2 linked regions of the Drosophila melanogaster genome follow. The protein of the gene in region 2 purifies or fractionates together with the protein of the main gene of each other region. This does not show direct contact. Each region holds a gene or a part of one and is shown on either strand. Other genes may lie near its edges.

Region 1 (5,126 bases), on a different chromosome or scaffold from region 2:
CGTCGTCTCCCAGGATAGACCGCCCACAAAAAGTTTGCCCCTCTCGTCTTCCTCCATGATGTTGTTTTGGTTGTGGTTGTGAGCTATGGCGCCGGGTAGGTTCTCAATAATTGACGTAATCTTGCCGCTTTTTTATTAACACGGGGTGCAAAGAAATTAACTTGTGTTCGGTTGGTTGCCTGTTTTGGGGGAGAATATACAATTTTTACACTGCTGCTGGTATTTTTTTTTTGTGTTTTTTTTTATGTATTTATGTTTGTATGTATTTTATGTATGGGTTGTCCAAAAAGTAATTGCGGATTTTGTAAATGAAAGTAAATGCATTTTTAATAAAACTTCGAATGAACTTTAATCAAATATATTGTTCGATAATCTTTTGCCATCTTTCTGGCGAACATCCGAATTAATCGTTTGGTTCCTTGGAAGCAGCTAAAAATATACGACACCCTTCCAATACCACCAAACAGACAGCATAACCTTCTTTTGGTGGATATCAGCCATTGAAGTGAAACGGATCGAATTCATTGCGTTTAAGGTGCTTATCACAAGCGTTGATTCGGTGTGTTAAATGAATTTCTTTCAATACATGTGGTACCCAAATATCAAGCTTTTTCACCAGTCCAAGACTTTTTATAATGAACGGTTGATTTTTGGTATATTTAACTTCTCTCCTATCTCACGCTCAAGTTACATGACGATCTAATTCGATAAATAATAATGCTTTGATTTGGTCATCATCAACTTCATTTGGCCTGAACGTGGCTCATCTCTAAGTGAAAAATCTCCAGAACGGAATTTGCGAAACCAATTTTGACACTGTCTTCCTTTTAAGGCTTCATCACCATACCATCGTATCTCTCGTAACTTTCTAGCAACCTTCTCCGCGTTTTTTCCTTTACGGAAATAATAAAGTAAGATATGACGAAAATGCTCCTTTGTGGGCTCCATATTAAAATTGACGCCAAACAAACAAATAAAAACAAAATTTCGCGCACTTTTTTTTCTAATGGAAGCTAAAAGTAACAGCTGATAACTGACCAAAGAAAGAATGCAATTACAGAGTTACAAGCCGTTGAAAAAATTTGTCAACGCCGACTATATGAAAAATCCGCAATTACTTTTGGGCAATATCTTACTTTTTGGGCAATATCTTAGGTTGGTTTCAACGTTGCCAAAGTTCTTTTTTCCTTCAAAACAATTAAACAAAAGCCACGACGTTCACACGTAACTTTCTATCGTAACAATATCGATGTCGTCGGTTTGTTTTTGTTGCAGGCACATGGAAAGATACACATAGAATATAAGAAATCCGGTTAATCGAATTGCTACACAGGAAAAAACAAGGTGGAATAGTTAATTTGGTTATTTGCAAACTGACGTTATTAAAATTAAAGGCCAGGGCTATGGTTGAAATTTTTTTAAATTTACATTTCCTTCGGAGACAATATTTCTTGCTGTGTAAAGATCTTTGGTGCGAATGGGTAGAAATGGTCAGATGACAAAAAATTCACGCATAGTTATTATGAAAGGCACAGGTAGGAACAAAAAAAAAAAAGAGAAAAAAGCGGCAGAAGCAACCGGCCGGTACACATACACACAAACACACGCAGCTGAAGAGATTCCGCCGTACACGTGTATGTGTGTTTGTCGTCTAACTGCTTTTTGTACACGTTCACAAGTTTGCTCCTCCTTCGACACCCCAACACTACTCTCATCCCCTTTCACTCGTTTTTGAACGGCTACGTGAAAGTATTGTTTTCTTTTCGCTGTGTCACGAGCGGAATGGTTGTTGTTGTTGTTGTTGTAACAAATCCCCAGCCTCACTCACACACCAGCACACATGCCGCCTATCAATGAGAACAACGAACTTATGTATTTCCAAGGTGAAAAGAGAGCTGTCGCCGGTTCACCACATTTGCGCGCCATTTGCCAGGGTATTACAGATTACAGCCAGATGTGGGCCAAGTAAACATCTACAGGAGTATATTTAAATTTTTGTGCAAACGCCAATGAACAACGGGTTTAAATTCACTTTGTTATCAAGAAAATCCCGTTTTCTTTACTGGCAGCACTTCGCAGACATTTTGCCCATTAACAAGTGAAAAAACATGTGGCAACGCCATGTGTGACGTGAACGCGAATGGAAAGCGAAAAGCAAACGTACCAAAAACCAATGCCCTCAAAATAAATGTTAATTCCATCGAAAGAAAAAACAAACAATTCTTTTTCGAGTTTTCCTCCAGCTTTAAACGATTAATGTTTTATTGTTGTTGCTGGCTGAGTACTCACGACTGAACTGAATGAATCGCACTGGCAGTGTGTGGGAAATTCACCACGGCAAAGGCAACGAAGAAAAAAAAACAAAATGGAAGACGTGCCTTATGAAAAATGATACAACAAAGAAGTCTCAAGAAATGTCTTGGGTCTCAGTTCTTAGAAAAGGGAACAAACGCATTTCACTGTATTTTTACGCTTTTCGTTTTGTTTGGCCAGCCAGGCGGTTTAATCGATGGGGCACTCACTAATTCACGAATGCACTTTCACGCCGGGTACACTTTTGACACTTGGGCTTTCGGGCCGGAGAAATAGGAGCGAAATTAACCAAGATTTCTAATACGCAATTTTACGAATTTCGCACGATTTTTGTATTTTGCACCGCAATCTGCTGGCGTGTGTGAGTGCATGAGTTGGCCGTACGTGTGTGCGCGTGAGAGCGTGTGTGTGCGCGAATGGCCGCCGAGCGCTGTGCAATGGTGTGCGTGATCGTTGGTGTGGTGTTATACATAGCATTTTTTCGTATGTATGTATAAAAATATGAAATTTTCCACTTTGATGGGTGGAAATAGAGTGCCGAAAGTGGCACGAAAAATCGCTGAAAATTGCACAAACCTCTGTTTGTCGAGAAATCCGAAAAGGCGAAGAAACGATTCGAACGAATCGAGCCAATTTTACCCCACACACAAACACACGCGCACACCGAGCAATGGCAGCTGCGTCAAGTATTCAGGCGTTTTTTTTGGAAAGGAAAGGCTAGGCAGGCATTTTGTTAAAGCACTGTAATTGTTATGTAAATGCGATTTTCGGTCGCTTTTCGTTCTTACCGTTTGTGCCAAGTGTTCGTCTGTGGTTTTTTAAAGATTTCGCACTGCAAATTCACTAAATTTAAGTGTTTTTTCCTTAAAAAACTAGCTTATAAATAATTGTATGATTTTGATGCATACGATATTATAACCTAACTTATATGATAAATCGCCGCCACGTTTAATGCTGTGTGACCGCCGCCAGCCAAAAAAAATACCTCAAGTTGCACGGAATATACTAAAACATACTCCACATATATTCTGAATCTAACAGATACTAGAAAACAAATTTAAATTACGAATTTATATCTATCTTTTAACACGAAGGCTAAATATAAAGGAAGTTAAAGGGGACTGGTTAAAAAAATGTATTATAAATTATTTACATTAAAATGTAATTGTGCAGTACAATAATATCTTAAAGGTGAAAAATGTAATAAGATGTGTGTATATGATTTGTATGTACTATACTAAAAAAGGTTTTATAGTCGCTTTCTTTAGGCGGATGGAATGTTTTGAAAGGAAAAAATAATTTTGAGTATTTTTTTCGTAGGAGTTGAAAAGGAAATATTTAGATTTTCATTTTTCGGCCCTGGAAGTTATTGTTGCCAGACACTCCCGCCTTTTGCTGACCGTTACCCGCGGATTGAGCATAACTTTTGGTATATTTTTAGCGAGTCCGCAGTTTCTTTTAATGGTCTGTCCACGGTCACTCTGTTTGCTACCCGGTAAAATGAGTTTTGCGCTGCATTAAATAGAAAATAAACACAAAAATTCGCATCTGCCGACCGTGTTAAGTGACTAAAAGTGTTCGCCAGTGCGCGATTGACCGACCAAAGTGCCCAGGAAGGCGGTGGCAAGTGATTCCAACCCATCATCGATTTTTTTCTGCGCTGCTGCCACATTAATTTGGGCCCGGGGAAAAGCGAAATAAACAGAAATGTCGCGCCATCCGAGCGATAGAAAGGTGTACGTGGGCGATCTGGGCAACAATGCCCGGAAGAACGACCTGGAGTATGTATTTGGAGCGTACGGCAGTTTGCGCAGCGTCTGGATAGCCCGCAATCCGCCGGGCTTCGCCTTCGTGGAGTTTGAGAGTGCCCGCGATGCGGCGGATGCGGTGCGCGGATTGGACGGACGGACGGTTTGCGGGCGCCGAGCCCGTGTGGAATTGTCCACCGGAAAGTATGCTAGGTCCGGCGGTGGTGGTGGCGGAGGTGGTGGAGGCGGTGGTGGTGGAGGACTCGGAGGACGCGACCGAGGCGGCGGTGGTCGTGGGGACGATAAGTGCTACGAGTGCGGCGGACGGGGGCATTTCGCTCGCCACTGTCGCGAAAGGAAGGCCAGGCAGCGACGCAGGTAAGCGCAATTCGCATTTGCAATTCGCCATTTCAATTTTTCATTCATTGTCGTTGCCAAAAACTTCTTGCTTTTTGTAACATGGCGAGAGAAAGGCATACATACAAACAAACGCATACATACATACATGCATGCTTGTGTGTATGCGCATGCAAAAATGTTGAGTTTGTTTGGGCACCTCTGTCGCCTGTTAAAACTAACAGCGTGCTGTTATGCGCAATGAGTGCTGTTAATCCCAGCGCATGAAGTAGTTCTGTACCATAACAGCACGCACACGTGCTCGGGTGGCATACCCATTAATATCGATATGAGAAGTATATAGCTTCTACAATTGTCTAACAAAATCATGCTTGACAACAGTAGTTATCTATTCAGATAGTAATAACAGAATTTTGTTTTTAAGTCTATTATATAGACTATTATAAGTCTAATATATTGTAAAAATGTAAACACTTTCGTGATTAATAAATATATAAAATATATATATTTTATACTCTTGAGCACAAGAATTTGTCCGTAAATTGCACAAAAGCTTACAAATAGTTACGTGACAATGATTTAGCGAAGTCCTCTAATATATTTAATATTGATATTAAAGTTTGATTGATTTGATTAGAAATAGACAAATTAAAATAAGTGGTAAACAAAAGGGTAGCAGGCGGCTGCAAGACACCCTCCTACGCTATT
Region 2 (5,289 bases):
AGCTCTTTGGATTTTGTAGTCTGGTGGAACGAGTTTTACAAATTGTCAACGCTTTGCTTTTAGCAAATACAATTTGTAGACAGGCAAACTAGTTTGCAGTTATGCCGAGACGAAACCAAAACAAGAATATAAGCTTTTGGGCGAGTTTTCCGACAGTGCGATACCTCCTGGTACCTGGTAATCAATAATCTGATTGGTCTAGATAAGACCACCGACTTCTTGGATATTTTCCAAATGAAGAGAGAAATCAAGATCTTGCATCTTATTATACAGACCATTTGCTATCACATTTCAAGTTTAATTGCAATAATTAAATGTAATTTAAATTGTAGTAGCAATTATAAACAAATTGATTAAGCAATATGGTAAAAAAAAACGTATATTAAAGTAATCCAAACATACGCTGTACATAATAAGTGTACTCTGGCCATCTAGCGGTACCTTGCAATCCGCAAATACCGCACCAGTATCTGAATCTGTGTATCTGTGCAACATAATTTTGTCATTACGAGGCGACACACACCCTCTTGGCCGGCCTGCATATGGGCAACAGATGTTGGGCAAATACAGAAACGAGAGCTCCGATATGCCAGATACAAGATACAAGATGCGACCAGGTAGTGCCACGCCCCTGCCCCTATACCGCCCCTATCCCGCCCCGAAAGTTGACTTTTGTTGGCTTGCCTTTAAGAGTTTTTGCTTCGTTGCCGTATATTTATTCATATTTTCTTTTTTTTTGATTTTTTTGGTTTTCGAGGCAAAGCGTGGGCAGTTGAGGTACATTTTTCCTCTTTCAGATAAGTTTGCTACACGTTCAGTGCACAGAGCAAAGCAGATCATTAAATGGATCCAATAATATTCCAGATTCGAAAATTTTAAAACTTTTAGCATATGTATAAATTCATACATGCTTGTGAATAAAATGATCTCTTATCACATAATACCACACCACATTAATGTTTCTATCTTTGTTGGGGGTTCCCCCCCTGGGGTTTCGCATCTCCTTCTGCGTCTCTCAAAATCCAAGCCTCCCTCCTTTTTGGTTTACGAATGGCCGAGTCAACAAAGAATTCATAATGAGAACAACAAAGGCTGCACTGGCAGTCAAGTGTGGAGCCAAGAATACAAAAGGAGAGAGCCCGGAGAGAGGTGTAAGTAGTGTGCGCTCCGCGAAGAGGCGCACAAAAAGGAAGTAACTAAAAATAACAAACATCTCGTTTCGGTTTGTAAGGTGGAATGAACTCAGAACCCGCGATGGAGAAGATGCCGAAAAGGAGACGCCGAGGAGACAAACCAGACACCCAGAGATCCATGCCCCAAAACTGATTGAACTACAGTGATCACTTGGTTAGAGGCACCCTAATCATTAACACGCCTGGCACACACGATTGAAAATGAAGTCACCACTTTAAAATAACATATATACTCATTTAAACTCTCCCATTTACCCAAATGTGTTCTAAATACCTACAGTCTCTGTAATACATGTTTACAATAAATCCCGCCAGATTCTCGGAATTAAAGTGCTTTGCAAATATTTTTTGAACAATTAAAAAAGATATAAACCAAACTGTAATGGCATCGATTTGTATACTACAATAGTTTAATGTTCTTTTCATGAATTTTTGGAATACAAACACAAAGTTCTAATACATTCTAGAGTTAAATATCTGAACATTATAACAAGAATATCCAAATTTCTTCTTTCACCACATTTCATCACATTTATTATATATAACAATTTCCTAATGGTACTGTAAAGTGTTTGATGAATAAAAGGATATTATCACAATAACAAACAGTAACTGGGTTTATCGTTTGATTCAGAAAAGGCTAGCTAGTGATCGTTATCCTTCCGCTGAGTCTTGGATCCGGGATTAGGATGATGCTGTGACTTGGAGGGATCTCACTCGGTTTGAGTTTTAGCGACTTACCTTCGTCCAGCAGGCGTTCGACGTGGGTGAAGACGTTGGGGAAGGCGGCCAGTTGCTTGCGGTCCTTGAGCAACTGGGCCAGATAGTCGGCGATGCTCTGTGTGCTCTGCTGCTGCTGCTGTGGGGTCAAGTGCTGCGGGGTCATGGGGACCACCACCTGCGGCGCCTGTTGCTGCTGCTGTGCCTGAGCCTGAGCCTGGGCTTGGGCTTGAGCCTGCTGCTGTTGCGCGACCGCAACAACTGCTGCGGCTGCCTGTTGCTGCAAGTGCTGCTGCAGTTGCTGTTGCACAACGGCTTTGCTCTCACAGACACTCATTTTGTTGCGTGCGTGTGTGATGTGTGGGTTTTTGGGAACTTTTTGTTTTGTTCTCGACGAGATTCTGGTTTTCAACTTTCAACTTTCCTTGGGTCTCTGCTTTCTTTACTTGGTGCACACTTCTTTTTTATTTGTTTTTGCTACTTTTAACACGTTACTGTGGGAGTTGGGAAATTCATTAAGTTTCGTACGCGAGCGATATTAAAAACGGAAAACGAAATGAAAACAACTCCGCCCAAAAGTATTTTTTCCGATCGGCAGCAACAACAATGCAGGGCGAGAGATACTGAGAGAGCGAGAGAGCGCAGCAAGTCGAAAGCGAAGGCAGAAAATTCCTCGGCGATCGCTCACTCACACACGGACAATAAACAGTAAAACTGTATATGCGACGGAGATGAATGAAAGCAGAATGTCAAAATAGCTGCCTCTCTCTCTCACCCTCGCTCATTTGGCTGCTGCAACAGCAAGTACAACAAAAAAGTATTTAAATAAATTTTATATTCAAATTTCTACGTTTTGAAGATACAAAGGTATAAATTCCTTTGCCTGGAGATGTACCGAGTGCACAAGGCCACTTAACCGATTTAAAAATGCAAGAAAACTCGCAGAAATATGCACAGTTGCTGATTATGTATTTGTTGTTGCTACTGGATGGCTTTGGATTTTATTCATTTCGTTTTGTTTGGAAAGTATTTTTTTTAAACACACTTTTCTTCTCTGAGGACTCCTATCCTTTGTTTATTTGATATATGTGTATATGGATTTTATTCGAGTCGGGGAATAGCGAACGGATCTCGGGACTTTACTGAACGATTCCTCCTAATTTTCCTACCACTGAACCGTGCGCAAAGAAAGAGAAAAAGAAACTGAATGCGAAGCGAAGAGCACAAAACGTTGTAAGTGTGAGATCATGCCAGTTCGATCGTGGGGTGGTGGTTTCAATGTGCTCTCGTTTCTCTGCTCTCTCGCCCAGTGACGTCACAAAGTGCGATTGCTTTTAATAAATATTTAAAAGCCAATATTTGGTTATATATTTGGGGGTATTTTTGATCTAAATTAACTAATTTCTAATATATCAGTGCTTTTAACTACTCGGTGACGTTTAGTCAATATTTGCATAACCATTTCCATAAAAAATACGCCAATACCCATCTTGTGACGTCAGTTTCTCTCTGACTTGGCTCTCTCGCACCCTACTGCCAGCATGCGAGATCACCCATCAGCGTTGCCACTCCGCACAAACAGAGTTGCGCAGCTGGTTAACATATTACACATATTTTAGCCAAAAGTGCGAGTATAAAAGTTAATAAATGGCCAAATAAGTTAATAGCAACTAAATACAAAGGTGGGCCATTAATATTCTTCCAAATGGAGGCTAGTTAATGCATTAATTGACTAACAACATTCAGCGTTGCCACCTGGTAGCTGGGTGGGCCACAATTTGGCGCGTTGGCGTTGATTTTGAATTAATTAAGACACTGCGCTGTGGAGGCATTAATTGCGCACGGAAATTGCTGGCAGATTAGAACCAAGCGGCATTTTGTTTCGCCGGACATATGCGGGGGCTGGCATCTGGGCCCCAAGTCCAAAACACCATGCAAATGAGCCCCCGAACTCGTACTGGCCAAATGTTGGTGTTAACTTGGTTAACTCTGCTGCAAAACGCGAAATGTATGTGGGAAAATTGGCATTCGCGAGCGTTTCGATGGACGCACCATATAAGCGACCCTAGGCCGGCGACAACTTTTACTTTCCATCGCGAAAGACATTTTTCGCTGGCTTCCGTGTGGTTGGCGAATTTCACAAAAATTCAACGCAGTATTAAGATATTGCGTACTAAAAATAATTAATTATCGATAAAGTGTATCAAAATAAAACAATCTTTTAAGTCTACAAAGCTACTTTTATTCTAAAATTTTACTCGTGTTCTGTTCACATTTAGGTCCTTCCACTATTACAACACTTAATGCCAGTGGATCGGTGAACTTATTGTGTGTTGCCTGTGTCTTCAACAATATTTTGATATACATATATGTATGAGGATCACTTCATTGCAACAGTCTTCCCCATCGGAACCCAAAATTTCTGGGGCGGCACATCTAGCCAACGGCAGGCATGGGGCAAGATCCGATTTTTGAAACCAGCATACACCAAAATGAGACGTGAAAGTTTAAAGTTGTGGCCAAAGTTGTGGATGGACATCGGATTGGTCGTTCCATTGGAAAGCAGACTCCCACCACCGGACCTCACCTGGCCAAGTTTCACAGTCCGGCCACAAGTCCCACCAAATTTGTGTGCACTTGGCTCAAACCGATCGGAATTGGCCTGTGTGTGTGGGCCGACATTAAATGCGTTGTACGGCCCCATTATACAGTTTTAGTGCCATTGAAAAATGTGTCAATGTGCGTGGCGATTGAGACATTGTATGCCTATGGATGGATATCCGATTTAAATCTCTGGGCCACAGACCAAAGCCCTTTCCAATCCGCACACCCACGTCGCCCAGTATCGGCCCATTGGACATCTGGCCAAGTCCGAAGTGCCAAGTTTTCCGTGGGCCGTTAATCTCTCTAGTGCTTTTGGAATTTGCCCTTTTGAATGTGGTGTTTTACATTGTGAGTGGGTCGTTTTGGGCGGCACTTTCGGTTTTGGAAAACCGAAATGGCCGCAAAATAAAAGTTTTCCAGCAGCTGTAAAGTTAGGCGAGAAAATGCTTGAATTGGTTCAAGTTTTGTGTAAACTGAAAAGTTCAGAAATTTTGGTTATGCACCATTAGTTCAACAACCTAAATCTAAAGTCGGAAATATCCCACAAATCTTTCATTGCCTATTAACAGAGAGATATTGCTACCCAAATGCAATTCGATTGTTTGACCAATTCGGCTGCTAAAAAAGAAGTGGTTCCAAAGATTGACAACCTGCCAGGCGGCGCTAACACTATATTGCTGGTCCCGGGAATCCTTTTTTGGCCACTGCACGTTTGTGTCGAATGCAAATTTGGCCAAGACATTTAGCGGCTTTGTGGCGGCCTAAACGACAA

What was found.
Region 1: the proteins of how (region 2) and Hrb27C purify together in Drosophila melanogaster (affinity purification with western blotting, with the first as the bait; one study listed by BioGRID). This does not show direct contact.

Annotation. Positions count from the first base shown.
Region 1 is NT_033779.5:6,918,837-6,923,962, reverse strand, and holds the start of Hrb27C (heterogeneous nuclear ribonucleoprotein at 27C), read right to left. Parts: upstream 3,260-5,126; 5' UTR 3,102-3,259; intron 2,998-3,101; exon of another isoform or gene 2,890-2,997; intron 2,704-2,889; exon of another isoform or gene 2,523-2,703; intron 2,325-2,522; exon of another isoform or gene 2,165-2,324; intron 1,233-2,164; exon of another isoform or gene 1,229-1,232; 5' UTR 1,137-1,228; intron 180-1,136; 5' UTR 58-179; coding exon 1-57. Other genes in the region: x16 splicing factor, read left to right, coding at 4,021-4,439. UniProt on the Drosophila melanogaster protein: This protein is a component of ribonucleosomes. Could be needed to organize a concentration gradient of a dorsalizing morphogen (Dm) originating in the germinal vesicle.
Region 2 is NT_033777.3:22,040,025-22,045,313, reverse strand, and holds the start of how (held out wings), read right to left. Parts: upstream 3,124-5,289; 5' UTR 2,959-3,123; intron 2,408-2,958; 5' UTR 2,251-2,407; coding exon 1,935-2,250; intron 1-1,934. UniProt on the Drosophila melanogaster protein: RNA-binding protein involved in muscle development and dosage compensation. Vital role in steroid regulation of muscle development and to control heart rate.